Arabidopsis thaliana: one gene and its partner. Changing the gene in region 1 together with any one later gene gives a genetic interaction. Each region holds a gene or a part of one and is shown in the gene's direction. Other genes may lie near its edges.

Evidence for each region.
Region 2: of ETL1 (region 1) and DML1, changing one suppresses a phenotype caused by changing the other (phenotypic suppression), as found in Arabidopsis thaliana (one study listed by BioGRID).

The regions. Positions count from the first base shown.
Region 1 is NC_003071.7:515,854-531,219, forward strand, and holds ETL1 (SNF2 domain-containing protein / helicase domain-containing protein), read left to right. Parts: upstream 1-7,369; 5' UTR 7,370-7,627; coding exon 7,628-8,212; intron 8,213-8,408; coding exon 8,409-8,526; intron 8,527-8,606; coding exon 8,607-8,647; intron 8,648-8,731; coding exon 8,732-8,982; intron 8,983-9,051; coding exon 9,052-9,232; intron 9,233-9,341; coding exon 9,342-9,527; intron 9,528-9,612; coding exon 9,613-9,786; intron 9,787-9,868; coding exon 9,869-10,027; intron 10,028-10,118; coding exon 10,119-10,196; intron 10,197-10,293; coding exon 10,294-10,430; intron 10,431-10,520; coding exon 10,521-10,739; intron 10,740-10,868; coding exon 10,869-11,031; 3' UTR 11,032-11,215; downstream 11,216-15,366. Other genes in the region: IDD4 (indeterminate(ID)-domain 4), read right to left, coding at 2,475-3,438, 4,411-4,807, 5,128-5,317; LCR69 (low-molecular-weight cysteine-rich 69), read left to right, coding at 12,544-12,607, 12,863-13,032; AT2G02103 (Ta11-like non-LTR retrotransposon), read right to left, coding at 14,572-15,366. UniProt on the Arabidopsis thaliana protein: DNA helicase that possesses intrinsic ATP-dependent nucleosome-remodeling activity and is both required for DNA repair and heterochromatin organization.
Region 2 is NC_003071.7:15,304,680-15,321,771, reverse strand, and holds DML1 (demeter-like 1), read left to right. Parts: upstream 1-6,964; 5' UTR 6,965-7,174; intron 7,175-7,416; 5' UTR 7,417-7,499; coding exon 7,500-7,633; intron 7,634-7,716; coding exon 7,717-7,832; intron 7,833-7,934; coding exon 7,935-9,065; intron 9,066-9,158; coding exon 9,159-9,530; intron 9,531-9,635; coding exon 9,636-9,726; intron 9,727-9,819; coding exon 9,820-10,717; intron 10,718-10,791; coding exon 10,792-10,871; intron 10,872-10,993; coding exon 10,994-11,078; intron 11,079-11,155; coding exon 11,156-11,247; intron 11,248-11,323; coding exon 11,324-11,392; intron 11,393-11,481; coding exon 11,482-11,518; intron 11,519-11,602; coding exon 11,603-11,685; intron 11,686-11,843; coding exon 11,844-12,269; intron 12,270-12,471; coding exon 12,472-12,508; intron 12,509-12,599; coding exon 12,600-12,657; intron 12,658-12,730; coding exon 12,731-12,870; intron 12,871-12,949; coding exon 12,950-13,015; intron 13,016-13,096; coding exon 13,097-13,211; intron 13,212-13,296; and 5 more. Other genes in the region: LOS2 (Enolase), read left to right, coding at 1-93, 191-382, 471-527, 611-691; AT2G36500 (CBS / octicosapeptide/Phox/Bemp1 (PB1) domains-containing protein), read right to left, coding at 1,689-3,299; AT2G36480 (pre-mRNA cleavage complex 2 Pcf11-like protein), read left to right, coding at 14,237-14,641, 15,504-15,605, 15,694-15,951, 16,240-16,362, 16,438-16,875, 16,963-17,092. UniProt on the Arabidopsis thaliana protein: Bifunctional DNA glycosylase/lyase, which excises 5-methylcytosine (5-meC) and 5-hydroxymethylcytosine (5-hmeC), leaving an apyrimidinic (AP) site that is subsequently incised by the lyase activity.

The DNA.
Region 1 (15,366 bases):
ATACATATATTTTAAATATATAAACTTTTTTAATCACATATGACCAAAACAAAATATAGTTCCAAACAAAAAATATCTCCCTCAACAAATAATAACTAGTTTGAATTTGGGTGGTAACATAGCAACGATAGATACTAAATAAATTATATTATGTTATATTTTTTGCTTCATATACTTTTTATATTCACTTTTTATAATTGATTTTTTAATTTTTAATTAACATAGGTCATTATTGATTTAAATTTTGTATTATTTTCTAAATGATATAATTCATATAGTTATATCAATATTGTAAAAGTGATGCAAACTGATATAGATTTAAAATTGATGTCACATGCACAAATTCATAATGATATCAATTATTGTAACTGATTAAATTATAATTTTGTATTGATTATAAATAAATAATTTAAATGAGTATTATGTACTTTTTGAAGCTAATTAATTGATGGAACTATTAGTAACATCTATAAGTTATTAAACAATTGAAATATAAAATATTTCATTAGTTTACACATAAATAAATTAAAATAAAAAAATATTTAGACATATATTTTATAGGGATTTTAATGAAAAGAACCCTCAAGTATCGGTAGATCCATTTTATACCTTCAACTATATTAATAATGAAAAAGCCTTAACTAAGAGATTTAAATGACAAAAACCTTTAAGTACTAATCAGTCTATTTAAAACTTCTAAATTATTAACAACACAAACCCACAATTATTTACGGATATATATTAGACTCCATAAGTAAATATCTCTTAGCCAAAAAAACTCATTCGTCTATAGTATTGTCACAATCCTAAATGACCGTTATCAAAGAAATATTATTAAATTTTGAGTATTTCAAAGATGTGTATAGTTTTTTAGACATAAATTGTTTTAAAATAGCATTAAAACGTCGTGATACAATAGAATGCAAAACAAAAACGATGAATTAATATAATTAAGATATCGGGTCAGATTGGTAATAGTGGTTGCTTTGCATTTTTTGATGTAGAAATATGATTGTAGGTATTTTGGCTATAGAATTTAAAATTTTAGAAAGACTAAAAAATTGTGCTTTAGAAAGAGAGGTTTTCTATAGCAAAAAAAATAAATCATGTAAATATTTTGAATGTGAGAAAAAGTCAAATCTTCTAAAACTTGATTGGTTCTATTTCAAAGCTTTAGATTTTTTTTTTCTTTGTAAAGACTCTAAAGCACTTGCCAATTATGCCCATCGCATTATATATTGCGTAAAACAATGAAAATAAACAAATTCATGTAAAAAATTAGAAACTAAATCTATTTAAAATAAAATATAAGCATGACGGTTACACGATCTTAGAATTATAAATGAAGGGTTTTTTTATTATAATTTTGTACTTAAATGTTATTTTCATTAATAGTTTAGGTAGAGTTTTATATGGACCGACTATTAAATGAGAGATTTTTTCATTAAAATTTTTTAGTTGAGGGGTTTTTCTATTAAAAAGTAAGTTCAGGGTTTTAAAATAGATTAATCTTGATGGTTTATGATCAATTATTAGTGGTTTATGATCAGAATATATTTGTTAACATGTCCTCTAATCATATCAGATTCATTTAGTCTCGGTGGAAAGCCGAATTTGATTTATCTGAATATTCAAACATGAAAAATTAGAGAGCTAGCTTTCGAAACTTAAAACACTTTTGTTGGAACACCATTTTAGATTATATGGTAGTAAATTTTAGATTAAGAGATTGTGGGATGTAACTATGATATCTTCTGTCCCGTTACGGACCAGAGCGGGATCGGAGACGATTAATCACAATGATCTGCTGTACCTTCGATTTTGGGAGTGTTTCTATCCCATCAACATCGGTATATGAGAACATGGACTTCATATTATGGTGTCAACCGAAGCATGACGGTTCAGAACAATAGACAGAGACATTCCTTTGGATTTTTTAGTATTTGGATAGTTACAAACGATAAAATATTCCAGGTAGTTATTGGAACAACTAGACATGTTAAAATATGCTTTAAGTGAACCAAAACATGGATTTAACCTCACATCATGTTGAAACATCCCGTTGAGAGGGTTGTTTTTAAAAACACAGCATAGATTGCCTATGGTCAGATTTGTGTGTATTCTTCCTAAACTGAGATGTGTAATCCCAAGTTTCTACTATTTTTTAACCATTCAACCCCATTTCTTCGTTCTTTATCCACTTCGTTTAGTTCCACCCTCTTCATTCGAAACCATAATATTTATCATTCTCTCGGTTATAAACAACACCACATAAAATCATATTGGAGTTGTAAGTCAGTACAATAGCTAGCAAACTTACAATCTTTTTTATTATATAAAAGACAGACTCTAACCAAATCCAAACCTAAAAAGCTCTCACTAAAGATATACTATTATTATATAGTGATTATGAAAACAACAAGCGAAGATAACAAAATTATCACCTAATTAAGTTATACAATAATAAGATATTATCAACCTCTTCCAAATGGATAATTTTGCTCAGGAAACTTCGCCTCACCATCCAAAGAAACTCCGCCACGAGCACTGCCGCGACCACCACCACCACCACCGCGATTTACATTTCTCACCATTCCTCCAACTCCAAGAAAATCTAACGTTAACTTGTCCGAGCCGCTCATATTTCCATTGTCTCCAAATTGAACGTCGAAGATACTGCCACCGGATCCGCCACCTCCATTAACGGCGGCTAATGAGTTCATTAGACCTTGAAGGTTTCCATTATTATCATTCTCCATAATTCGTCCTCCACCAAAGTGATTAGCGATAACACTTGATGAGTTAGACGAAGAAGCTAAGCCTCTGAACAAAGCAGATGGGTCGTTGCTTGTGACTGAACCCATTTGTGTAGCTTTCTGAAGTAGTGCCGTGGCTGACACGTTAGAACCCGCGTTCAAGTTTTCTTCACGGTGATGAACAAGAACGTCGGTGCTATATAGAGAAGGAAGACTCGTCTCTGAGTTCTTCGTGTTTTCTTGAAAGAATCCGAGGTTGAAGAAGCTGTTGTTGGTGCCGCTACTCTTGAGGTTGATGTTGTCGACTGGATCAAACTGTATCAGACCATGCTGGTTCATGAAACTCTGGTTATTGTTGTTTGGCGTTGTATTCAACATTCCTTGGCTCGAAGCGCTTTGGATTAGGAAGTTAGGGTTTGATGATTGCGGAATAAAGTCTCTCCTATTATCAGAAGATGCAATGTTCAGATTGTAACCCACGAGAGGGTTAAATCCAAAATTTGGATGGTCACTCAAATGGTGGTGTGAGAGAGCACTGCCACCGCCAAGTCTCCCGTAGATTCCGCCGGAGCCGACACCACTACTAGCAGCTGTCATTGACGTAAAGCTCACGGTAGGGTTTCTTGCAGTCTCTTGTATCAATGCATCGCAGAAAGCCCTATGCGTGATGTAACTATCACGTCTACAAAGCAAAACAAAAAGAAATGTAAATAACACAACGGTCGATAATAAAGTTATTAATTCATATATATGAAAACTTTATACTATATTTATTCCGTGAGTCATAATCAATAAATGCTATAGTTATTGTGGCTACCATTTAAAGGAGAGAATGAAAGAAGAATATAGAGGTCGAGTCAATTGCTAATTTAGTGAAAGACCTTCTTCATTTAATGCAAAACCCATGAATGTTAATATAAGTCAGTCACATTCTGCAACAACGTATATTACTCAAACCATGAAAATATAGAAAGAAACCCTAGAAGAGCATTAAAGTGTTCACCAGAACACTGTAATAAATATAAGTAACGCACTCTTACCAAATATGTATGTATCTATGTACGTATATATAAACATACATAGAGAGAGAAAGAGATAAGAAGAGGGTCCACAAATGAAGAGGAGTTTCGTAAAAAGGGGAACCTGCAAAGTGAAGAAGAAGAAAACAAAAGTAGAAAATAGAAAAACAAAATCCAACTCATGCATGTGAGTATGTGACCAAATTTAGCATCTTTTAAATTTTCTTACTTTCTATTCACTGTCTTTCTCTATTCACTACTCATCAACAACCAAACAAATACATTGATAGATCCTATGTACATTGTGACTACATACAATTTATAGGCGGTGTACTCGAGGTTCAAATTCCGTGGCCAAATATACAATATTTCAGTCACAGATGGTTATATATATTTGGTATTTTCCATGTAAATTAGTAAATAAGCTAAGTTTTACATGCAGTGTTGAATGCAGCTTTTACTTAGAATAGTTTTGCATTATAATACAAAATAAAGGTGGTCCATTAATTGTTATACTTTACCAAGATAAGAAGGTATATCTAGATGCCACACACACTGACACATATATTATACGTTTCATCACTTAAATCAAATACGAACAAATTATTTAAATGAAATGGATAGAGATTAGTTACCTAGAGAAGATGGTACCACAGTCACATCGATACTCTTTAGTACCACAAGTCTTAGAGTGAGCTTTCCAATCTGATTGAACAGCGTAACGCTTAGAACATTTCTCACATTTCCACTTCTTTTCGCCATGTTTACGGTAATAATGCTTCTTGATTCCGGTGAGGTCTCCGAGAGCACGTGACGGGTCATGGTGAACGCACGTTGGCTCCGGACAAAGATACACTTTCCTCTTCACTTCTTTGGTTGATTTTTGTTTCAGCTTCCATGGGAGATTGTGTCCTCTTCGGTGAAGCTGTAGATTTTGTTCTCTTTGAAACCCTTTGTTACATACATCGCATATGAATCTGTTTGTAGCCATTAGTGTCTTTGGAGATAATGCTACCACTTCCGCATCAGGATCTGTTTCATATAATTAAAGAATTTAATCATTTAAATTAAGTCACCAATTAGACCCAAAATGTCAATCTATGTAGACTATATCGAAAAAAATGATACACACACATGTAAACATAAATCAAATGACATATACACGTATAAACATATAAGATATACTGGCCTGTCAATATATATGAAATCTTGATACTAGCTAGATATACAAAACAAAATAGAACAAATGATTAGGGTTCTTTTTCTTCTTGGTATTATCTTAAAGCTTATATATAGTGATTCTTATAGAAAGGTGATAAATATATAGAGATTTATATGTAAGAGATACTTGCTTGGGTTTCCGGGTTGGTTTCTTCGTTTCTTGGGTGGTGGAGCTGAGGAGTTAGGTTGTTGAATCATTGACATAAAAGTATCTTTCCGGTTAAAGTCGTTATCTCCGGTGCCGGAGCTGGTGATGAAGAAAGGCTGAGCAGAGGATGATGATGAAGGAATAACGCTTGTGTTATATGATGATGACGACATCTTTAGATCTTCTTCTTTGCGTGGAAGAGAATAATCTACAAATAATTCGTAAGACAAAAAAGTTAAGAAGAAAACGAAGGGAGGAATTATAAGAACAGGAAAAATCCATAGAGATTGACGACATGAAGAAATTTTATAAAAACCATTTCACTAGAAGACATAAACAAAGAAAAACAAATTAAGAGTTTATACTTTTGTTTTTTGTTCCTAAACTTTTGAAAGAATTAAGAGGAAAGATTTCTAAGTTGTATTTTTCTTGTACCTGAGATCAAGAGAAAGAAACCAAGTAGAAGAAGGAAAAAAAATAGTCAAAATTAAAAGCTATAAATCGGAGCTAAAGAAAGAACCAAGAAGAAGATGATGCATGATGATGATGATGAGATAGAAGATGATGATGAAGAAGAAGACACTATTCCTATATATTATGTATTATAATACAAACACAAACCTCAAAGCCCTATCTCTCTCTATCTCTATATCTCTTTCTCTCTCTACTGTTTTGTGTTCTTCTTCTTTTAAAAATAAGCCATATATGAAATGATCTTGAAAAGTATGTCTCTAAGGTCCCCTCTCTGTCTCTATCATTTTATTTTATTTCGATTAATATAAAATAAAGCTACTTTTTTTCTTTCTTATAATTTAATTTGACAGAATTAAGAAGGATGGTTACGGTTTGGGTGTCACTGTTAAAACGGTGAAATGTGTCCACATGCGGGGGTGTGTTGTGGGTACCACATTTTTCTCATTCGTATCTTTCTGGTGAGCTTTAAGACAAAACCCTCGTTTTCTCTTCATTTAACTTGATTAGGTTTTGTTGTACTAACTTTTTTTTAATTGTTTTTATCTAATAAAATCGTTTATAATATAACATATCGTATATTAATACACATGATACACCAATCAATAGAGAATTTTTTAAAATTTGTTAGATTCTTGTATGAAAATTAATATATTGCTTTTCTTCTTTGGTTCAATTCTTCAACCTTTCAGAATGTTCAATGCAAAACAATCGAACCGATTGGTTTTGAATCAAACCTAATTAATCCTGAACGAGTAACCAACTCTCAACCGATCTGAATAGATTTTAAAACGATATATCACAAAATCTCCAATATCACTTTAAGAGCTTTGAGAAAATATTATTGATATATTATTATTCGACCGTAAAGTTTGATTTTCTCCTTTTCACTTGGGCTTTTTAATCTTATACAATTTAGTTTTATTTTAGTTTACAAACGACAACATATTTAAGTAACAGGTGACTTCTCAACTTGATCCTCTCTTCATTACCATCGATGCTTTTTAAGTTATACTGAGATCGTACCAACTGCAATGGGTCAGTGCCGGGCCATATTCAATCAGGGCCTCCCTGATTGGGTTGTAATATGATTTCAAGTTAGTAATATGAAATAGCACACAGTCACGCACACAAAAGAGCCTATATAAGGAGAGATATACCACAAACAGCCCAAGACCCAGTTGTTTTAGATGAACCAAAATTGTATGGAAATATTTAGTATTTGAAACTGCCGTCACCAAGATGGCAAGGTCAGAGAAACTCAATAACAACTCTGTTTCTGCCATTCCGAGAGTTAATATTAATTTTCAGAGTTAATGGATTAGCTAGTAAACATATATATACAAATGATAATAACCTGTAGAATGAGGATTAAGATCGAGAACGACGAGGTTATCTTTACCGCAACATTCCAAACGTAGCCAAAGCTCTATTACCATACCCCTCAATGTACATATCCAGCTTATAAGACTCCTATCCAGTATCCACCATCCAACGAAACACACTCTCAGATTCTTCCACATTATGAATACATGTCAACCAAATAATTTCTCACCTCAACCATCATTTCAAAACCAAATCTTCAAGCAAACCCCATGGATTTAAAAACCCTTTTCAAGTGCGTCAAACAAACCACAAGCTTTTAGATTTGTCGAGAAAGTGAAGTCGTTGGGCCCATTTCTTCGGATCCCTTAAGTTCACCATTAAGTACTCATTAGAGCCCATTTCTTGGGGCCCATTAAGAGATTAAGTCCGCGCGCATAGCTTTTGGAGGATGCCGCTCTTTTGTAAGAAGCAACACGTTGTTGAGTCTCTAACCTTTCTTTGAAATCTTGACCTTTCCCTTCCTTCTCCGCTAAATTCGTTTTAATTTCATCTTCTTCTTCTTCTTCAATTCGATGCAATAATAGTCACTTCAATCTCAATCTAGGGTTTTCAATTTTCTTCATGTGAATTTTTTTTCCCCTTCTTCTCAATTTCAATTCAATCTGGGATTCGTAAATTCTCGGAAGATGAAACGCGATTTCGACGAAATCTCCGAGGAAGAGTGGTCTCAACACTCGTTTAACGCTTCGCGAGTTCTTAAACGACCACGGACTCCGAAGAAGACTCGCGCGGCGACGAATCCAACGCCGTCGATTGAGTCTTTTGCGTTTAGGAGACCTTCGACGGCGATGACGATTGAGAGTAATAGCAGCGATGGTGATTGTGTTGAGATTGAGGATTTGGGAGATTCGGATTCGGATGTGAAGATTGTGAATGGTGAGGATTTGTTGTTAGAGGATGAAGAAGAAGTGGAAGAGACTAAGGTTGTGATGCGCGCTGCGAGAGTTGGTAGGAGATTTGTGATTGAAGATGAAGAAGCGAGTGATGATGATGATGATGAGGCTGAGAGTAGTGCTAGTGAGGATGAATTTGGAGGAGGAGGAGGAGGAAGTGGAGGAAGGAGAGGAGAAGATGAAGATGTTGTGGGGAAGGCATTGCAAAAGTGTGCTAAAATCTCAGCGGATCTTCGAAAAGAGCTTTATGGTACTTCTTCTGGTGTTACTGATAGATACTCTGAAGTTGAAACTTCTACTGTCAGGATTGTCACACAGGTACTGGAAATTATCACTTTGGTGTTCTTAAAGTAGTTGCTTTGAGACGATTTAGAGTGTCTTCCTTATACAATTGTGAAGTAACTTTTGATTAGATAGCATATTTTGGTGGTAAGCTTTGATTGGTTTGGTTAGAGTTTACTGTTTTGTTAACTAAAACTTGTTTACTTTTGGGTTGAATCTGTGATGATCGCAGAATGATATTGATGATGCATGTAAAGCAGAGGATTCTGATTTTCAGCCTATACTCAAGCCGTACCAGTTAGTTGGTGTTAACTTTCTTCTTCTGTTGTATAAGAAAGGAATTGAAGGAGGTATGTGTTTTTACTAGTTTCGATCTGTAAACCTTTTTAGCGTGAATGTCACTTTGTAACTCACTTTCTATTGTTTGTAGCCATTTTAGCCGATGAGATGGGTCTTGGAAAGACCATTCAGGTGCATTTTGCTCTGTTATTACTGGATAAGTTTTCTTTGTTTCTTTATCTTATAAAGAACTAATTTTGTTCTCATTTACCTTAGGCAATCACATATTTAACCCTCCTAAGTCGCTTAAACAATGACCCTGGTCCTCATTTGGTTGTATGCCCTGCCTCTGTCTTGGAAAACTGGGAGAGAGAGCTCAGAAAATGGTGTCCGTCGTTTACTGTACTTCAATACCACGGAGCTGCGAGAGCAGCCTACTCAAGAGAATTGAATTCTTTGTCAAAAGCTGGGAAGCCACCACCATTCAATGTGCTTCTTGTGTGTTACTCTCTGTTTGAACGGCATAGGTGCAACTCTTGATGCTTTTATTTGCTTTTTGGCTTTTCCTGTTACTCACAGATGTTGGAATTTTACAGTGAACAACAGAAAGATGACCGAAAAGTACTGAAACGGTGGCGCTGGAGCTGTGTTTTGATGGATGAAGCCCATGCGTTAAAGGATAAGAATAGTTATAGGTGGAAAAACTTGATGTCTGTGGCCAGAAACGCAAACCAGCGTCTTATGCTTACAGGAACGCCTCTACAAAATGATTTGCATGTACGGTTGGTTTCTGTTGATTTTTTCAGGATCTAATTACCTAATATAGACGACATTTCTTCATGTGGTCATACAATGCTTATTCCCTGCATATGTTTGGTCTATGCAGGAACTATGGTCGCTGTTGGAGTTCATGTTGCCTGATATATTTACGACAGAGAATGTTGACTTGAAGAAGTTGTTGAATGCAGAAGATACTGAGTTGATTACTCGAATGAAATCTATCTTAGGTCCTTTCATCTTGAGGCGTTTAAAATCTGATGTCATGCAGCAACTTGTTCCGAAGATACAGCGGGTATGGATATATCTATGCACAATTAAGTACACGATATTAATCTTCTAGCTGCAAATCTCATTAATTTCCCATCAATCCAATGCAGGTTGAATATGTATTAATGGAGAGAAAGCAGGAAGATGCATATAAAGAAGCCATAGAGGAGTATCGTGCTGCTTCTCAAGCACGGCTTGTGAAGCTTTCATCAAAATCCTTGAATTCTTTAGCCAAGGCACTTCCAAAGCGTCAAATTTCAAACTATTTTACTCAATTCCGGAAGGTAATTCTCAGCTACTAATACAAAGCCCCTTTTGTGCCAAATGAGTGTGTTATTCATGTGTTATTAAATTTTGGTTGTACAGATTGCAAACCATCCATTGTTAATTAGGCGGATATACAGCGATGAGGATGTCATTCGCATCGCCAGGAAATTGCACCCAATCGGTGCATTTGGATTTGAATGTTCCTTGGATAGAGTTATCGAGGAAGTTAAGGGTTTCAACGATTTCCGTATCCACCAGGTAAATGTTTCTCTTTCCAAAAGCAGTTGAATATCCATTAACAAACATGTTATGCAATTGAAGAAGCTAACTAACTTGTTTCTTTCCATAGCTTTTGTTCCAATATGGAGTTAACGATACCAAAGGAACTCTCTCAGACAAACATGTCATGCTCTCAGCAAAATGTCGGGTACGTGATATTCTTCTTCATTTCATAAGTCTTCTTTGTGAAACTGATTAAGTATAACTAAACCTGTGAGCGATCTAAATCTCCCTTTATGTATCAGACATTAGCTGAGCTTCTCCCTTCAATGAAGAAATCCGGCCATCGTGTTCTAATATTTAGTCAATGGACATCGATGCTCGATATCTTAGAATGGACACTTGATGTCATCGGCGTTACATACCGAAGACTTGACGGCAGGTAATAAAAGAAAAAAGAGTAATTTGTCACATTTTTGACGATTCTACAAAAAGGAAGAAGCTTAAGTCATTTTCCTTTTGTTTTCAACAGTACTCAAGTTACAGATAGACAAACCATAGTCGACACATTCAACAACGATAAGTCGATATTCGCATGTCTCTTGTCAACTCGAGCAGGTGGACAAGGTCTTAATTTAACCGGAGCGGATACAGTCATTATTCACGATATGGATTTTAATCCACAGATTGATCGGCAAGCTGAAGATCGTTGCCATCGTATTGGTCAAACAAAACCAGTCACTATCTTCAGGTTTGAGCTTTAAATCCTTGAATCAGTTTAGATAACTTTCAGAACAAAATTGTGGTTTGGATTGGTTTATGTGTGCTCTGTTTTGTATTCTCACATATATCTGTATTAACTCTGGCAATGCTGGTGCAGACTGGTGACGAAATCGACGGTTGATGAGAACATCTACGAGATAGCGAAGCGGAAACTAGTTCTTGATGCGGCGGTTCTAGAGTCCGGAGTTCACGTAGATGACAACGGAGACACGCCTGAGAAAACCATGGGAGAGATTCTTGCTTCTCTTCTCATGGGATAACATTATTGTTACCTTTTTTGTTTTGAGGTAAAATTAGTCAAGAAACGAAGTTAATGTGTTATTCTAAACATGTGTAACCACTAGCTATTATTAGACTTAAATTTAATAGATCACGATAGTTATATTTTCTTCTACGCATGTAAATTATAACCCAAAAATTTCCTTCTTTAGACCTAAAAGTCACAATTGTTCCAAACACTAAAATGTGGATCAGTGATCAAATGAAGTGAACCTTCAGGATAGTTTAGTCTTCGATCATCAAAGATTGTATAAAGGAGTGACTTAGCTGTATTTGTAGGTATCAAAATTGAAAACCTCACGCAATGATTAAAGGTCTCAAGTATCTTTATTCGTCAGAGTTGTATAAGACACAAATCTCACTAGATTGTTTTCCCATTGTCTTTGCCGAAACCTAACAATGAACAACTAGTTCTATTAGGATTGGTTCAAGAATGTCACATAGTATAAGTTTTTCTTAGCTGAAAAATTCTAGATAACTTGGAATAAATTCTAGATAGTCTTTTTTTTTTGCTACATTTGAAGATAAATATCTATGAAAATGTTCAAATTCATGATTATATTATTGCGATTAAATAATTGAATATGACTATACAAAATAATTCACTAGTAAATCAAAGCCATACTAAGTTTGGATTCTTTGTGGTAACTGCCATTGCCAAGTCACGTTTTGAAGGTGTTCTCATGGTCAATTTACACTTAAAATTGAACCTGAAAACTAAGGCCAACCGGAAACTTGTTGAATTGTGTGAAGTGAGAAAATGATAATCGTGTATAACTTATAAAGTCACATGATAAAGAGAAAGCAACCAGCTTTTTGTCTGCCATAACAGTTCTTTAAAATATAGCCACAATTATACTACTTAATTTAGAGTAACTAATCCCAAATATTACTTATCTAAGTAATAATTAGAAAAGTATTCGATATTTATTATCAATTGCGTTTTAACTTGCTATATAAATACAAAGTTTAATTTTTATATAACCCACTAACTTTTTCATTTTGGTATATGATAAAAATACTCTATCCCGTGACTATTCCACTTGTTGTTACTTTTTAGTTTTTTTTTTACATAGCCATTATCATTGTGGACTCCACAACATCCGCAAACTCAATTATTTACTTTTCTATACGTTTATTTGTTTTTTTCTGATACAAAATTTGGTGCATGAATGACTTCTCGAAACGGTAGATGGACTCCACAACATCTGCGTGTCTTGTCACCTTACGTTACGGACCACAATTTACACCTATGAAAGTGTCGGTAAAGCAAATAAAATCGAGAAACTCACACCACTCTTATTCAAATCCAAAGTGAATACTCCAAAAATAAAGTAAATGATATTTATCCAAAAATATCTAACAAACGCGTAAAATGTGAATTATCTTGAACGTTTTAATACCTCTTTACTCTCTTTATATAGTGCCATTTTCCTCACTAGCAGCAACACACTTGAACACTACTTTCGAACTCTCTCTTTATCTCTCTTGCAATGAAGCTCTCTATGCGTTTGATCTCAGCTGTTCTCATCATGTTCATGATATTCGTCGCCACTGGTTTGTTTCTCATAACCTAATATCTAATTTTCACACATAACCCATGTTTTATGATAACATATTTTAACATATATAGATAGTTTCATTTTTTATAACATTCTGTATTTATGGTTTCTATCGATTATTCTTGTGAATGCTCATTTAATTATAGTTAAGTTCACTTCGAAAGTTAAGTAATATGCATCAAGCATGAGACACATGAAACTAAGCTATGGTCTAAACGAAGTGTTCGTTTTGTGTTTTGATTTTGTCTAGGGATGGGACCAGTCACTGTGGAGGCACGCACTTGTGAGTCGCAGAGCCATAGGTTCAAGGGTACATGCGTGAGTGCATCAAACTGCGCCAACGTGTGCCACAACGAAGGCTTTGTCGGAGGTAACTGCCGTGGATTCCGTCGTCGTTGCTTCTGCACCAGACATTGCTGATCTACCCATTCTCATGCATAATTCAAGCTTTGATCCATCGTCGTGTGTCACTTCTTTCTTATCTAATCTTCCGTACAGTACCATGAAGTACCGTACATTAGTGTGTTCTCAAATAAGTCTTTGGATTTGTGTGTTTCCGGTTTAAATGTAATGTTAAATCAACTAATGACTTTGAGCCTTTGACTAGTAATAATCAAAATCTATGTTCTGATAACAAAGCTATTTTCCTTCGAAAATTATTTAACGCATCACTTCATGTCTCACCTTGAAGAGATCAACTATGATGAAACTTAAAAAAAAAATGAACATCAATCTTGTTATCTTGAAATGCGTTTTTTTTTTGTTGGCATTGAAAGAGTTTGTTTGCGATGGCATGGACTTTTCCGACGTGTGGGACAGTATCAATAATATGACCGAAGATAAAACATTTCCAAAGAGACTGATTATCCTCTAAATATCGGTATAACATACCAAAATTTACTTTTTGGATGTAATTGGTGGAGTAATAAATTAAAGTAGCGAGGAAAGAATAAAGAGGGAAAAAAATACGTGTGTATTTTTCTTTTTCTTTTCTATATATAAATACCAAATAGAAAATAAAAATTTAGTTTTTTTTTGCATCAGTGAGTATATAAAATACCATATATTAAGTTTATACAACCAGTAATGTTTTAATTTTATTTTTTTTGCCAACTTGGATTATATTGATATAGGATTAGATTAGGATTACAACATGACTTGAGTGAAGCCACCAAAAAATAGTCTCAAATGGAGACTCTGCTAGAATAGCATCAACACCGAGGGGATAAAGGATACCACTAGGGTCCTATATATACATAAATGGTTCTAATCAAAAGCACAAACAAACACAACACGATAATCATCAAGAAGAGAACAACACTCTCTCATCAATAAAGAGGATAAGCCGGAAAACTAGAAACCACATAAGATTGTAGTCCACAATCCATGGTAACACTTTGGACAATAAATTGATCAGCTCCTCTATTTGCAACACCTATGTTACATTTCTAACGAAAGACACTAAACCAAGCTCTCTTCTCAATCTTAATGAAAAACACTAGATGAGAAAAAGGGTCCTATGTCCAGAAAAAGAGAATTTTTAAAAATTATTGAAACTTTAAAAAATAGGGTCTGATTGGTAAATAAAAGCTGTATAAGTTTTCTAACTGTTAGTTGGAGTTGTTAGCTTTATTGAAATAGTACAAAACTGTTAAAAGAAGCTGTACAAAAAAGTTATAAAAAAAATTAAAATAAAATTTTTTATAACATTTTTAATAAAACTTTTATGATTGATAACTATTACAACTGTACAAACTGTACCGCTATTATAGTAGTTACTATTTTTTTTCACTGAAAAGTTGCCTTCCATTTCAAATTCCACTGTGAAGTTACAAAAAGTTTAACCAGTGGACTTTCCACTTACAAGTCTTAGGCAAACTGAAAATGAAAAAACATTGCTGAAGTAAAGAAAAAACAAACTGAAGCATTACAACAAAACAGAACATTAGAAAGAGTATGTCATAACCAAAAACCATACCCTACTAAGCAGGCTTCTTCGTCTTGAAGCTGTGATGCTTCTAGTCCTGCAATCTTTCCCAAAAAATGACAGAAAACGATCGAGTGGTTTAGCGTTTTTTTTGGAGGTTTCAGAATCCCTCCAGAGCGTTGAACATGATCAAAATGAGTTGGAGACCTCATCCTTTCAGTAGGACGTCTTGGTTCCCTGTTTTCATTTTGTCTTGATGCTTGACCACCTTCAAAGCACCTTCGATGGTCTGTGAAGTGAGTAGTTCTCCTTGCCAGAAAGTTGTTTGATCCTGATGACATATCCTGTCTGGAGGTGCTTGATTCTCCTACATCCCTGTGATTCTCGTTTGTTGCTGTTGCAAGATGAGGATAGGCAGCTGTAAATTCAGCGTGATTCACTGGTGGAGGATCCACTCTTGGAGGTGGAGTCAAGGGCACCGGAAAGGAGCTTTCAGTCATCTGAGATTGTGAGTTCATTGAAGATCTTTGAACACTATCACAGAAGAGGGCTCTTTCTCTTGCGATGCTAAGAGGACGTTGACGGTAGGGACAGTAAGCTCGATTGTGAGTAAATCTGAAACAGCTACTACATAGTCTTCGGAGTCGTTCATATTGGAACCTGATGGTTGCAGTTTCACCAGAGTCAAAGATGACTCTTTGAAAAAACCTCAGTCTGTCCGTTATACCAAAACGAACTCTAACTCTAATAAAAGCAATCTGAGGAGAGGTAGCCTCATGAAAGTCCAATGAAATGATCTCTCCTAGATCGTGAGCTATCTCCATAAC
Region 2 (17,092 bases), about 15 Mb from region 1:
CAAGATGACTGGGAGCACTATGCTAAGATGACCACTGAGTGTGGAACCGAGGTTCAGATTGTCGGTGATGATTTGTTGGTCACTAACCCCAAGGTTTGTTTTTATTTGCCAGTGTTCTTACCAGTTTTTTTTTGTTGTCTGCCCTCTCTTAAAATGCTCACATCTCTCTTATACTCTTTTCTTATTCCAGAGAGTTGCTAAGGCAATCGCAGAGAAGTCTTGCAATGCTCTTCTTTTGAAGGTTAACCAAATCGGATCTGTAACCGAGAGTATCGAGGCAGTTAAGATGTCGAAGAAAGCAGGTTGGGGAGTGATGACCAGCCACAGAAGTGGTGAAACCGAGGACACATTCATTGCTGACTTAGCCGTTGGCTTGTCCACTGTAAGTTGAAACCATTGCAAGCATTTAACTAGCAATCTCATGCTATATCTTTTGTCGGACTCTCATTTGGATCTTTCTGTCTATACAGGGACAAATCAAAACCGGTGCTCCTTGCAGATCCGAGCGTCTTGCCAAGTACAACCAGGTTTAACATCTCAGACCACTAGTAAAGACTTTATGTTTGACAACCAGAGTACATTGTCTAATATGTGTCTTGTTTCTCAACAGCTTTTGCGTATTGAGGAGGAGTTGGGATCAGAGGCAATTTACGCTGGAGTCAACTTCCGCAAACCTGTGGAACCCTACTAAATGGAGCTTTTAGAAGCAAAGTGGTCTTCTTTGTGACGAGGAGAAGATGACCTGAGTTTGATCATTTGCTTTAATTAAATAAAACGTTCTGTTTTTGTTTCTTCTTTGTTTGGTTTCTTACGTCTTTTGTTGAACCCTTTTTGGGAAAAGTTACTCATTTTTGTAAGGGAAACATGAGAATGCTCTGCCTTTGTCGAGGACGGTAGCCCCTTATTTCAATCTAATTTCGGCTTTACTCTTTAATCTTCTCATGTGATTGTTATGATCTCTGGTGACATACGATGGAGTTTTAACAAAAATAAAATAAGTTCTTCATTATTATATTAAAATTGCAACTCTAGTAAAGGTTTTAAAATAGACCTGCTTGTGTTCATGACTACTATTATTCAACAAGAGTTCACACGTAAAAAAGGTGTGAACACTATCTGAAGATGACTAGAAAAACATTCATACAAAATTGTGTAGATAAATCATTTTCTTCTCGGTTTATCACTTTTATCGTTCACTTTCTGTTGAAATAAGCTTAATCAAGTGATGGTGAAGGACAAAAATTTCTTGAATTTGGGTTGTAGAATAATAACAAGTACTTGGTTTATTAACAGATATTCAATAAGCAGGTTTGCCCGAGTGGTTAAGGGGGAAGACTTAAGTTCTTCTGCACATAAGTGCGCGTGGGTTCGAACCCCACAGCCTGCATCTTTCTCTTTATTTTTTGAAATTTTCAATGCATGAAGTTTTTAGGAAAAAAGATTTTAGGAAAAATATGCAGGCTGTGGGGTTCGAACCCACGCGCACTTATGTGCAGAAGAACTTAAGTCTTCCCCCTTAACCACTCGGGCAAACCTGCCTTCTTGTCTATTGACTACTGAGAGAACAATCACAATTCTCAAACAGGAACAAGTATGTTTTGGTAACAAGTTTTATTATTGCTTTGCAATGTGAATCGAATAAAAAGACAAAGTAACAGTGTAATACAATTAAGTTCCCATTCAACATATCATTTCTTGGAACGTTTTAAGTAAACAAATAAACCTATGCTCGTTAGGACAATAGCACCAGCCAAGACGCCAGTCTGCCACCAAACACAACCGCCATTTCCCTCGGACAAATCTGCAATCGTCTCAAGAGGAGCAATTGTCTCGGTAAAATCAAGATGTAGTCGCAAAACCTTTTGCCCCAAAGACCTAGCAAAAGTTACAGCAGCAACAAGATCACTGTCCCTACTAATCAAAACTTTATCACCTTCATCATCTTGGTACATTATCTGAAGGCCTGAATCCGCTTCACATCTTTGCATCACAACACTCATCAGCTCTTCAAAACTCTCACCAGTTGAGTTAAACCGCTGTACTCTCCCTTTACGATCTTCGAATTTGAAAGCAAACGAGCTCACAAGTCCTTGTGATGGACACGACTGCTTCCCTTCTGAATTTATCAGCATTGCTGACATATCGCTGTGTGTTTCGTAATCCTCAGGTGGTTCTAACGCAAGAGCTGAGTCCCAGAACTTTTGCATCATTGTATTCGCCATATCGTTAACAGCTCCTGAGCTGTTGTTCTCAACCGTTGATATAGCTGCGTGAGTTATCTGCAGCACGTCTAAACAAGCTACGGCGAATCCGTCTTTATCGAAAACCGGCAGATGCAAGAACTTCCCATCATGCATTATATGCAATGCATCGAGGATTGTTGTCTCTATTGATGCACATTCAGGATTTGGCGTCATTACCTTTTCAACAAGAGTCAGCTCAGGAGATAGATTCTGTGCTACAACTCTCATGAGAATGTCCTTTGAAGTTAAAATCCCATGAATCTTGTTCCCAACCGCGATGATCACAGAGTTAACCCGCAAATCACGCATCTTTTTGGAAGCTACAAAGACAGGATCTGATGCTGATACAAGTGCAACTTTGGTATTCTCAGTGACTATAGTTGACAATGCAGGCTTGAACATCCTCTCTCTCAATGTATCAATGAAAGCGAAGTTTCCACTTCCCCAATGCCGTTCTTCCACTGCAGTAGCTAAAGCACTTCCTTGCTCTGCAGCTTTTTCCATCCGTGAGATAGCATCATAGAGACACTTTGTGATATCCAACAAAGCAATGACTTCACCATTCTCTACAACAGGCAAGTGCCTGAACTTTCCCTGAACCATCTTCTGAAGAGCCTCAATGGCAAGTGAATCAGATGTGACAAAAATGGGATTCCTTGTCATGACTTTAGACACCAGAGTATGCTCTGGTCTCAACCCTTCTGCAATCACCCTCGTGGCTATATCTTTGTCTGTAACAATACCGGAAAGAAGAGCGCTTGAATCAGTTAACAAAACCGCATCAACACGCCTAGCAGCCATCCTTCGACAAGCATCAAAGACAGTGGTTCCCTCATTAATAGTGAGAGCTTTGGATAACCGTAGCTTCTTGACTGTTCTCTCGCCATCAGAAACCGGTTGAGCAAGAGGTGAATCAGGTTTGGAGGTGTTCTCGTTAATGCTTCCGCTTCCGCTTTCGCTCTCTTCTGATTGAAGAACAGGTTTCTTAGAAGCTGATGATGTTCTCCTTATACTTGAAATGCTTCTTCTCCCAGATGAAGTTGGAGTAGTCGTCATATTGACGGTCTTTAATGACTCATCAATCTACAAAACCACATATACTTCTTAAGCAAACACAAGAAGAACAATCATTTGATCCATAATCTCTTTACATCTTCAGAAAAGAGATAATCAAACAACAAAACAGATCAAACAAAAAAACAGAACATGCAAATTCAGTAAGATAAGGACATACATTACTTATCTTAGATATTGGAGATTCAGACAAATTCAGGGTATCGATAATGGACATGAAGACAATGAGAATTCACGAATCCAACAAATTTTCAGAAATCTGATTCATATCTAAATGAAAGAATCTAACCTGTGAGATGCTATTTCAATGGCGTTGAAGATTTGGAAAAGTTTGAAACTTTCTCTGATGTTAATGTAATTTAGATTGTATGGGTTGGTGTATTGGTGTTGTTTACGAATGTTTCTTTCTGTTTCGTCTTCTATGAGCAAAACCCAATAATCAAAATCACAAATTTATATGTTTTGATCTTAAGAAAACTCACAAGGATTTGATTCCAGAAATAAGACTTTTCTTTCGCTATCTGTTCTTTTTTTCTCCTTTTGAGTTTTTTTCTATTTTCTGTTTTATTTTTTTAAAAATCGTTATCATCATCCTCCTTAACAACGTGTCTGGTGGTTGGTTTCTATCACTCAACCCAAAATTAAAAAAGAAGATTAATAGAACAATAATTCTGTTATTGTTGTTAGGTAGTAAGCTATGTTTAATAAATGAGGATTACCCTAAATGGGTGTTATTAGTTGGTGTCATTAGTAGATAAGGTTTATATTAGTCGATTTTATTTATCAGAGGTCATTTTAAGGAGTGAATTGTTTGGCGAATTGGCGTAAACAATATGTATATTCTACGTTATCACCATTATTAGGAGTATATATAAAGAACCTTTCTCGTTGGAGTTTGTTCATCAAAAGAATCGACTTATATACTTTCTAGAATGAATGTTCTAAGTGAACTTTTATAAACAATGATCCAAAAGATAGATCAATATTGCATGGGGAAAGGAACAGTTGAAAAAGTCATGCATTAATAAATAAAGTTTATACTTATTAAGTGGGTTATTGTAGTCTTCTTCTATGTGACATGTTTAAGATCGAAAGATGGCACTTGGCTTCCACTTGGCACTATCTCAGTTTGCATGAAATCACAATATGGTATTTGTCTCTTTGAGTTAAGTTTCACCATTGTTTATATGGATAATATCATGTCGATACAAAATGTATTATAATATCATAACATTATAACGTGTGCATGTAAAATAGGATTATAATAAGATAAGAATTAAGTGCTTTGCTAAAATTCAATGTAATTTATACTTTTCATGCATGGTGAATGAGTAAAAGAGTTGAATGAATCTGATACATGAGACGTGGATGGTAAGCGAGAGCTATGTCATTCACACGTCTCACACAGTGCGTGAAACGGGAATCTCCTGCCACCGCTTGAGAGGATTGACCTTATGGGATAAAAAAATCTTTCGACGCTTAAATCAGAAAATAATCACAAACATGTTATGAGAAAACAAATCAGCGAAGTCGTGGGTCTTGTATCCGCTGGTACTATTGCTCTGATTCTCTGTTTCCGGTCTTCAGCAAGATCCGATCATTATCTCCAGTCATACAAAGATTTTTTTGATTATTTATTTTTGTATATGTTGGATCTTTGTAATGTCCAAGACCTTACCCAAATTTTTGGGAAGGCCAATATTATAAAATTATGAATAAAACAAAGAACTAAGAACTATGGGAATGATATTTTTTTTTTTTTAATATATAAACTACGTGAATGATACCATATCATAAGACAAAAAATAGAAGTATGGATTGAGATACAAGCGTGGCGTCTTTGTTTTCAAGTGACCTATCTCCTTGATTATATTAAATAAAAACTAGTAAACAGGTTACATGATAGATTCGTAGATTAGTAGTATTTCAAGTTATAATTAAGATCAGGATATTTATAGTTACAGAGTATGATCGAGTAACAAGCGACGATTTATATGAGGTTTTTAGGCATGCCGGCTTTAGACTATAGTCGATGAAGCAAGGACTTTAAGGTCGACGCCAAAATATTTTTTATATTTTGAACTTTTGAGAACCCTAGTTAGGCCTAAGCTTCACTTTGCTTGGCACACAGCCGGTTATATTGGTGGATCAATGTATGGATATTTTGTATGTTTGGAGTGATGGCTTTATCGAACTCTCTGAACACAACTCTGCTAACCATACATCCACACGTCGTGTGATAATTAGATCTTATATAATAGTCCAAAAATGACTTCCAACTCATATATTTATATAAATAGTCTTCTTTTGTGGTTATATGTTTGGTTATTTCTATTTATAGTTTAATTCAATACCAATATTACAACTAAATCAGTTTAATTTTTCTTTGATTTGGTCTTTGAATTCACTTTCATGGTCAGTTTCATTGTTTAAGATAAACTTGAATGGATTAAACCGAATTAGGCATTCACTTTTGATCAGTCTCTTCTGCCATAATCTTCATAAGACAAACCCAAATTTGTAAAAACTTTTTTGAAAAAGAAACCGTAAGTAAAAGTAAAAGCGTTTAGGATCCAAGTATGGATTAGCTTCGTAATTTGAATTAGGTTTAGCTATACGAATTCGTTTACTTTTGTACCATATTTAGTTGTATTGTTTTCAATAATAGTTTTAAACATTCGAATAATCCGTTCCCAACTTTTTATCCACTATTATTCGTCTCAGTTTCTAGGATAGATATGTCCACACAAAAAAGCTCTTGATTTTTTTTTTTTTTTTTACAAATTCCAAATTTCTTTGCTCATAACCCAATCATTAGGTTATGACCACCATTGACTCACTCATAAGTCATAAGTCATAGGCTCATAACCAATCCAACAAGTTGTTAAGATTGACAACAACGATTCACTAAGATTCCAACCAAGTCCATGAAATAAATGATTTACAATACTCATTTCTCATGTACGTCTCTTTGAAGGTTTCTTGCATGACAGGAAATCAAAGGTTAGCACACTAATTACTCTTTTTTTCACACACATTCACAGTTTCACACATATGGTGCAGTATTTTGACTCCTATCGTACTAGACTAAAACATTTGGAATGATCAAAAACGAAAGACTCGTTGGGCAACTAGCCTAATAATCACTCTACTACACTAGCTCCCATATCAGTGGAAAATAATAATTCTAAAACGAATCATTTAACTTCTGCATATGTAAACGAAAACGTGTAAATTTATGAGATTACGTAAAAATTAGCAAAATAATATATTATTGATCAAAATTATAAACGTGGATTACATAACATGTTATTTGTTTAAATCATAATTTGATGATAAATTTATAAATAAAGTTCTAATTATTTTATATCTAAAGCAAAATTAAGATTATTTTATAATTTCTATTAATTATAAAATTAGTTAGTTCATATAATTTTAAATAGTTACGTAAACGAGAAAAAATACGAAATTTTAAAGAGAAAAAGATAACAGAAAAGACGATGATGACGATGACGATAACAACGACAATATTATTAACTTTTTAAATCATCTTTCCCATAGTCTAGGAGATTTTGTAGAAAAGAATCATTATTTTTAAAATAAAATTCCGTAAAACTTTTCCCGCCAACCAAACGAACTTTCGCCCTACATAAACAAACGGTTATGAAAAATAGTGAAACACACAACAACACATGTTATATCCTCTTCTTTATACGTTAGGCCAAAAAAGCTTTTTCTATATTACTCTTTAACTTCATCGATTCCAAGAGAAGAAACGAAGCATCAGTGATCTTATCCTCTCATAGCTACCACCGAACTAACTCTCTCCATCACCACCATAACCATTGATTCTACTGGTAATGAATTTTGTTTTTTTCTTACTTTTTTTTACATTTTGTTGTGAATCTAAAAAGTCTCTCTTTCACCTAACGAACGGATTAATCGTTCATGTCGCCACTCACCCAAAATCAATGACTTCCGGAGATCTCTCTTTCTCTAAAACCCCAGAAAAAAGTGGATCTGATCATTTTATAAAATCGTGATTTTTAAAAAAAATTGGTGATCTCTTTTATTGAAGAAATTATTGAACTTTTTGCAGTGGAAAAAATAGAAAGTTCCAAGCTTTTTCTCAAATGGTTCTGATTTAAGTAAGAGTGAAGAAAAGTAAAAATAGAGTCAGAAATGGAGAAACAGAGGAGAGAAGAAAGCAGCTTTCAACAACCTCCATGGATTCCTCAGACACCCATGAAGCCATTTTCACCGATCTGCCCATACACGGTGGAGGATCAATATCATAGCAGTCAATTGGAGGAAAGGTTTGTGCTTTTTTGTTCTAAAGTTGAGAAATTTCAAAGAGTAGTGATGGGTAATTGGTTAAGTAAGGTATTGATGCATGCAGGAGATTTGTTGGGAACAAGGATATGAGTGGTCTTGATCACTTGTCTTTTGGGGATTTGCTTGCTCTAGCTAACACTGCATCCCTCATATTCTCTGGTCAGACTCCAATACCTACAAGTAAGAGGGGATTTTGATTCTGGTCTCATGAGAAATGAAATCGCTTTGTCAAATTTTGATTCTGTTTGAGTTGGACTGAGAAAGATGTGATTCTCAATGTAGGAAACACAGAGGTTATGCAAAAAGGTACTGAAGAAGTGGAGAGTTTGAGCTCAGTGAGTAACAATGTTGCTGAACAGATCCTCAAGACTCCTGAAAAACCTAAGAGGAAGAAGCATCGGCCAAAGGTTCGTAGAGAAGCTAAACCCAAGAGGGAGCCTAAACCACGAGCTCCGAGGAAGTCTGTTGTCACCGATGGTCAAGAAAGCAAAACACCAAAGAGGAAATATGTGCGGAAGAAGGTTGAAGTCAGTAAGGATCAAGACGCTACTCCGGTTGAATCATCAGCAGCTGTTGAAACTTCAACTCGTCCTAAGAGGCTCTGTAGACGAGTCTTGGATTTTGAAGCCGAAAATGGAGAAAACCAGACCAACGGTGACATTAGAGAAGCAGGTGAGATGGAATCAGCTCTTCAAGAGAAGCAGTTAGATTCTGGGAATCAAGAGTTAAAAGATTGCCTTCTTTCGGCTCCTAGCACGCCCAAGAGAAAGCGCAGCCAAGGTAAAAGAAAGGGAGTTCAACCAAAGAAAAATGGCAGTAATCTAGAAGAAGTCGATATTTCGATGGCGCAAGCTGCAAAGAGAAGACAAGGACCAACTTGTTGCGACATGAATCTATCAGGGATTCAGTATGATGAGCAATGTGACTACCAGAAAATGCATTGGTTGTATTCCCCAAACTTGCAACAGGGAGGGATGAGATATGATGCCATTTGCAGCAAAGTATTCTCTGGACAACAGCACAATTATGTTTCTGCCTTTCACGCTACGTGCTACAGTTCCACATCTCAGCTCAGTGCTAATAGAGTCCTAACCGTTGAAGAAAGACGAGAAGGTATCTTTCAAGGAAGGCAAGAGTCTGAGCTAAATGTTCTCTCGGATAAGATAGACACGCCGATCAAGAAGAAAACAACAGGCCATGCTCGATTCCGGAATTTGTCTTCAATGAATAAACTTGTGGAAGTTCCTGAGCATTTAACCTCAGGATATTGTAGCAAGCCACAGCAAAATAATAAGATTCTTGTTGATACGCGGGTGACTGTGAGCAAAAAGAAGCCAACCAAGTCTGAGAAATCACAAACCAAACAGAAAAATCTTCTTCCGAATCTTTGCCGTTTTCCACCTTCATTTACTGGTAATGAATAGATACAGAACTATATTTCTTTGTTTTTTTGAATCTGTTAAATGCAGACTATTTCTTGATAATGATGATGTTTGATTCCTGCAGGTCTTTCTCCAGATGAACTTTGGAAACGACGTAACTCGATCGAAACAATCAGTGAGCTATTGCGTCTATTAGACATCAACAGGGAGCATTCTGAAACTGCTCTCGTTCCTTACACAATGAATAGCCAGATTGTACTCTTTGGTGGTGGCGCTGGAGCAATTGTGCCTGTAACTCCTGTTAAAAAACCACGCCCACGACCAAAGGTTGATCTAGACGATGAGACAGACAGAGTGTGGAAACTGCTATTGGAGAATATTAATAGCGAAGGTGTTGACGGATCAGACGAGCAGAAGGCGAAATGGTGGGAGGAAGAACGTAATGTGTTTCGAGGACGAGCTGACTCATTTATTGCAAGGATGCACCTTGTACAAGGTTATACACCACACTTGTCCTTTTATGTGTTTCTGTTCTAACCACATGGTTTCAATTAGTATGTCTCAGCTACTGCTTCTTGTTATGGTCTTTGGTTTCTAACAGGGGATCGACGTTTTACGCCTTGGAAGGGATCCGTCGTGGATTCTGTTGTTGGAGTATTTCTCACTCAAAATGTTTCAGACCATCTCTCAAGGTACAAGCTCTTACATAATTCTATGTCAAACTAAATCCAAGACAGCAAAAAGTCACAAAACTAACTTGCTTTGATGTTTTTTACTCCTTGTAGTTCGGCTTTCATGTCGTTGGCTTCCCAGTTCCCTGTCCCTTTTGTACCGAGCAGTAACTTTGACGCTGGAACAAGCTCGATGCCTTCTATTCAAATAACGTACTTGGACTCAGAGGAAACGATGTCAAGCCCACCCGATCACAATCACAGTTCTGTTACTTTGAAAAATACACAGCCTGATGAGGAGAAGGATTATGTACCTAGCAATGAAACCTCCAGAAGCAGTAGTGAGATTGCCATCTCAGCCCATGAATCAGTTGACAAAACCACGGATTCAAAGGAGTATGTTGATTCAGATCGAAAAGGCTCAAGTGTAGAGGTTGATAAGACGGATGAGAAGTGTCGTGTCCTGAACCTGTTTCCATCTGAAGATTCTGCACTTACATGTCAACATTCGATGGTGTCTGATGCTCCTCAAAATACAGAGAGAGCAGGATCAAGCTCAGAGATCGACTTAGAAGGAGAGTATCGTACTTCCTTTATGAAGCTCCTACAGGGGGTACAAGTCTCTCTAGAAGATTCCAATCAAGTATCACCAAATATGTCTCCGGGTGATTGTAGCTCAGAAATTAAGGGTTTCCAGTCAATGAAAGAGCCCACAAAATCCTCTGTTGATAGTAGTGAACCTGGTTGTTGCTCTCAGCAAGATGGGGATGTTTTGAGTTGTCAGAAACCTACCTTAAAAGAAAAAGGGAAAAAGGTTTTGAAGGAGGAAAAAAAAGCGTTTGACTGGGATTGTTTAAGAAGAGAAGCCCAAGCTAGAGCAGGAATTAGAGAAAAAACAAGAAGTACAATGGACACCGTGGATTGGAAGGCAATACGAGCAGCAGATGTTAAGGAAGTTGCTGAAACAATCAAGAGTCGCGGGATGAACCATAAACTTGCAGAACGTATACAGGTAAAAATTTAGTGGCTAAATTTCGTGATAACATTCATTTTAAGTATTTGACTCTGAACATGAAAATCATGCAGGGCTTCCTTGATCGACTGGTAAATGACCATGGAAGTATCGATCTTGAATGGTTGAGAGATGTTCCACCAGATAAAGCAAAGTAAGTTTGAAAGACGAAGCATTTTATTTCTTCTTTATTAACCTATACAAAGATTACTACTTTGGCAGTTTTAGTGACTTAATAATGAATTATGTACTCTCGTATATTACAAAACCCTGCAGAGAATATCTTCTGAGCTTTAACGGATTGGGACTGAAAAGTGTGGAGTGTGTGCGGCTTCTAACACTTCACCATCTTGCCTTTCCAGTAAGCAAGGATCAAACTTTTGTTTCTGTCCCTATAAAAAGTGAATTATATGATGCATGAACTTAATTTATTGACAGGTTGATACAAATGTTGGGCGCATAGCCGTCAGACTTGGATGGGTGCCCCTTCAGCCGCTCCCAGAGTCACTTCAGTTGCATCTTCTGGAAATGTAAGCACTTTTCAAAATGGTCCTACTTGGAAATTGTAATTTGTTACTTAATACATCTGAGGTTTGGTTTGTCTAGGTATCCTATGCTTGAATCTATTCAAAAGTATCTTTGGCCCCGTCTCTGCAAACTCGACCAAAAAACATTGTAAGAATGATGTTTATCACTAACTTTTTTTTTTTCATGCCTCAGTCTAATACACTTATTCATTAGTTTAATACCCTATTATCTCACAGGTATGAGTTGCACTACCAGATGATTACTTTTGGAAAGGTATGTATTAAAGAAATACATATATACGTATGTCAAAATCAGCTCACATGATGAGGTTTGTAATCTGCTTGATTATTGTATCAGGTCTTTTGCACAAAGAGCAAACCTAATTGCAATGCATGTCCGATGAAAGGAGAATGCAGACATTTTGCCAGTGCGTTTGCAAGGTGCTACAACATGTTCTCTTAAACCTTTAGTACCACTATGACTCTATGAGGAAAGTCCTTGTTAAAATATAACCCAGTTAAATGAGAATTGGTCTGTATCTAAACGAAGCTCTGAATCATCATTACAGAAAATTTAGTAACATTCATTTGTTTTACAGTGCAAGGCTTGCTTTACCAAGTACAGAGAAAGGTATGGGGACACCTGATAAAAACCCTTTGCCTCTACACCTGCCAGAGCCATTCCAGAGAGAGCAAGGGTCTGAAGTAGTACAGCACTCAGAACCAGCAAAAAAGGTCACATGTTGTGAACCAATCATCGAAGAGCCTGCTTCACCGGAGCCAGAAACCGCAGAAGTATCAATAGCTGACATAGAGGAGGCGTTTTTTGAGGATCCAGAAGAAATTCCTACCATCAGGCTAAACATGGATGCATTTACCAGTAACTTGAAGAAGATAATGGAACACAACAAGGAACTTCAAGACGGAAACATGTCCAGCGCTTTAGTTGCACTTACTGCTGAAACTGCTTCTCTTCCAATGCCTAAGCTCAAGAATATCAGCCAGTTAAGGACAGAACACCGAGTGTAAGAATCCATTTTTCTCTGTTTTTCTTCGTTCTTAGGTTAAAAATGAAATCAGAAACACATTTTTCAAAATTATTAAAGCTTGAACAGAGTAGAATATTTAAGTGATTGACCAAGCATGAACTCGTAAGTTGGAAAGCAGACAAACTTCCCAATAATTACAGGCTATGCCATAACTTGTTTCTTTTCCCGTATCTTGCAGTTACGAACTTCCAGACGAGCATCCTCTTCTAGCTCAGGTATGTGAGCTAACTGGATAAGGACACATGCCGTATAGAGTGCTGTCTATATTGTAAAATCTGACTAGCTGTTTGTGATTTCTTGTGGCAGTTGGAAAAGAGAGAACCTGATGATCCATGTTCTTATTTGCTTGCTATATGGACGCCAGGTAATTTAATGATTTGCATATCTTTTAATCATGAAATCAAATCGGTATCTTTAATCGATGTGTTATTCAACAGGTGAGACGGCTGATTCTATTCAACCGTCTGTTAGTACGTGCATATTCCAAGCAAATGGTATGCTTTGTGACGAGGAGACTTGTTTCTCCTGCAACAGCATCAAGGAGACTAGATCTCAAATTGTGAGAGGGACAATTTTGGTAAGTAGTTGCATCAATCTCCTTATGCGGCTTACTACACTTATGTTTTCTACAGATTAATATGTTGTAAATTGTACAGATTCCTTGTAGAACAGCGATGAGGGGTAGTTTTCCTCTAAATGGAACGTACTTTCAAGTAAATGAGGTAAGACTTGAACTCCAATAACTCCAACTCTTTCATTTTAATTATTTGCATTGAAACTTGTGATGTATTCTATTGATACAGGTGTTTGCGGATCATGCATCCAGCCTAAACCCAATCAATGTCCCAAGGGAATTGATATGGGAATTACCTCGAAGAACGGTCTATTTTGGTACCTCTGTTCCTACGATATTCAAAGGTATAAGATTTTCTTTATTGGATTGTGATGCGATTGTTTATATAAAAGAAAGTTGTTCTAACCACTTGAGCTCTATTTTTCTCAGGTTTATCAACTGAGAAGATACAGGCTTGCTTTTGGAAAGGTACATTTTGTATTAAGCAGTTTCTTCTTGTTCTGAAACATAACTTATCTTTTGATATTATGTAGGGTACGTATGTGTACGTGGATTTGATCGAAAGACGAGGGGACCGAAGCCTTTGATTGCAAGATTGCACTTCCCGGCGAGCAAACTGAAGGGACAACAAGCTAACCTCGCCTAATCCGTTGGCAAGCAAACAAATACAAGCTTATGGTTAAGAGTGAGAGAGCACACTGTTCCAATCTAGTTAATGTAAGAAAGTGAAAACGTAAAGTTAACAGTCCTAGAGTTGTACAAGGTTTCTAAATCCCATTTTAGTTTCGTCTTAAATTTGTATCAAACACTTGTCACAAAAAACAGACCCGTAGCTGTGTAAACTCTCTGTTCCCTTCGTTTGGTTTATATCTGAATTTACGGTTAGCTTTTGGTTACCTGAATCAAGATCTGGTTCGATATGTGGAGGATCTCACTTAACTTGGTTTAAATCAGATAGTTCAACCGGACCAAAGAATTCTATTGTTGTCAAATATTAGATGATGGGCCTATTATACATGGAATGTGGGTCATTAAATGGGCCTAAATATTTTTGGAACCAGCTCCGATCTTCAACTTTTTTTTGTCTCGTCTCCATAAAATCCCCAATTCACAACCCTAATTGATCGGAGATTGTCCAAACTCTCTGACATTTTTGCCGAATTCGAAGCATTCCTTCTATCTTCTCCGTCTTCTTCGCAGAATCGCGTTATGCATCTCAATTTTTAGATTGTAACTTAGGGTTACTGATTGTTGTAATGCTCTGAATTCCCCTCTAACGAGGATTTGTTGTCACTGCAATCGATTTTTGCCGATTAGGTTTAATTTAGGGCATTATTTGCGTACCTCTTGTATTGTATAGTTCTTTGGAATGGAGAATCCTCGTAGACCGTTTGATAGATCCAGAGATCCAGGTCCGATGAAGAAACCCAGGCTCAGCGAGGAATCAATCCGGCCTGTTAATTCCAACGCGCGGCAGTTTTTGTCGCAGAGAACGCTTGGTACGGCTACGGCGGTGACAGTGCCACCTGCTTCGTCAAGGTTTCGAGTTAGTGGTAGAGAAACTGAGAGTAGTATTGTCAGTGATCCGAGCCGAGAGGCTTACCAGCCACAGCCGGTTCATCCACATTATGAGCTTGTGAATCAGTACAAGTCTGCACTGGCTGAGCTCACTTTCAACTCGAAGCCGATAATAACGAACCTTACAATAATTGCTGGAGAGAATGTTCATGCTGCTAAAGCCGTCGTAACCGCCATTTGCAACAACATCCTCGAGGTGAACACCCAGTTTTCATGCCCACTGTTTTGTTGTTATAATCCGTGCTTTAGTTCTCAAATTCTTGTTTGAGTAATAATAATTGTACGATATAAGGGGAATAAGGTAAAAGGTGGTGGTTGAGATTTGTGTTATCTGTATACGAGGTTCAATGAGAAATTGAGTTTTTTGAATCAACCCTAGTATCCTTTTCTGGGATCTATGTGTTTTTATATTTCTTCATCAAGTCGCAAATCATTTCTTTGAAACAAAGTTCATAGTACTGACACAATGTTGTTAACAATCTAAAAAATAGCTGTTGCCCATGCAACCATTTTGTTCATGTTCATATATCAAGAATGCATATATCAGCTCATCATGTGATTGTACTGAGTTTTGGTTATATGAGTGTGTAGTCTCTTTATCAGCGTTAGAGTTTTTTGTATCTCACTTTACCATTTAGCAAGGGCTTTCATAAGCTCTGTTTTTATTGAGGTTGGATTTTCTGTTGGCGGTTTCTGCTTACCGCATGCTCTCCACAAAGCCAAGTCAACTTTTATTCAGTCTTTGGGTAGCAAGGAAGCACTCAATAGAAGGAGCCTGATCCATCAAGTCTGTGTGGAGAGTGAAGACAAGAATTGCTATTGCAGTGTTGTTTACATCGTCTAATGGTTATCTGTGTCTATTGTTGGATTTCTAGTTGTCAGAATATGTGTTAGTATTAGCTTGAATGTCATCTTGGTCTGTGCTTTTGATTCTACTTTAAGTTATTGATTTCTTTCATTACCTTTAGAGGCTCATGTGGAAATCTCGATGTTACTCTCTATGAGATCAAATTGGCCTTTTTTCTTCTGGGTTATCTGATTTGAAGAATATCATGCAGGTACCAAGTGATCAGAAGCTGCCAACACTGTACCTGTTAGACAGCATTGTGAAGAACATCGGAAGGGATTACATTAAGTACTTTGGTGCCAGGCTGCCTGAGGTTTGGTGCTTTGTTGATAGTCATGGTTATAGAATGTTTTTTTCCTAGCAAATTCATCTCTGATCACCCTCTTTTTACTTCTCTGAAGGTTTTTGTTAAGGCTTACAGGCAAGTTGACCCTCCTATGCATTCTAACATGCGGCATCTTTTTGGAACCTGGAAAGGAGTCTTTCATCCGCAAACACTTCAGCTTATTGAGAAAGAACTTGGCTTTAATGCTAAAAGTGATGGTTCAGCAGCTGTTGTATCCACAGCCAGAGCTGAGCCGCAATCTCAGCGCCCACCACATAGCATCCATGTGAATCCCAAGTATCTAGAAAGGCAGCGCCTTCAGCAGTCGGGACGGGTAAGCAATGACCAAAGTAAACTTGCAGCCACTGAAAGTTATTAGTGATGATACACCCTAACCTTCAGCTCTACTAGAGATTTCGCTGTTCTAAGTGTTCATAAATGTAACCTTCAGGAGTACTAAACATTTCTCTGTTCTAAGTGTTCACAAATGTAGGGAACATTTCTTTTTCGGTTTAGATAGCAATCAATTTCTTTCAAAGGGTCCTGGGTTTCTGGATATAGGTAGAGGCTACTTATCGACTTTATTAAAATTTCCCTGAGTATTTGTCGGTTTTCTTTGCAGACAAAAGGAATGGTTACTGATGTCCCAGAGACCGCACCCAATTTGACTAGGGATTCAGATAGACTGGAGAGAGTTTCAAGCATAGCATCTGGAGGCTCGTGGGTAGGTCCAGCTAAAGTAAATGTAAGATGATTTTTCCTTGGCATGGTTACAGTTTTTTTACCTAAGTGCTTTCCACTGATTGTGTGTCGAATTCAGAACATTCGGCGACCTCAAAGAGATTTACTTAGTGAGCCCCTCTACGAGAAAGATATCGAGTCAATAGCAGGGGAATATGATTATGCTTCTGATCTACCACATAACTCTAGATCGGTGATTAAGAATGTTGGTTCAAGGATTACTGATGACGGATGTGAGAAACAATGGTACGGAGCTACGAACAGGGATCCTGATCTGATTTCTGACCAAAGGGATGGGTTACATTCCAAAAGCAGAACTTCCAACTATGCTACGGCTAGAGTAGAAAATTTGGAATCAAGTGGTCCCAGTAGAAATATAGGTGTGCCTTATGATAGTTGGAAAAACTCTGAGGAAGAAGAGTTTATGTGGGATATGCACTCAAGGTTATCCGAAACTGATGTAGCCACTATCAACCCAAAGAACGAGCTTCATGCACCAGATGAATCAGAGAGACTGGTAAGCTATGATAGTAATTTGCATTCCTTTTTATTGTGATGTATCTCATTTTAATTTGTTAGCTTTTAACCATCTCCCATCTTGTAGGAATCTGAAAACCACCTCTTAAAACGACCAAGGTTTTCAGCTCTCGACCCAAGGTTTGACCCAGCGAATTCAACAAATTCATATTCCAGCGAGCAAAAAGATCCAAGTAGTATTGGGCACTGGGCGTTTT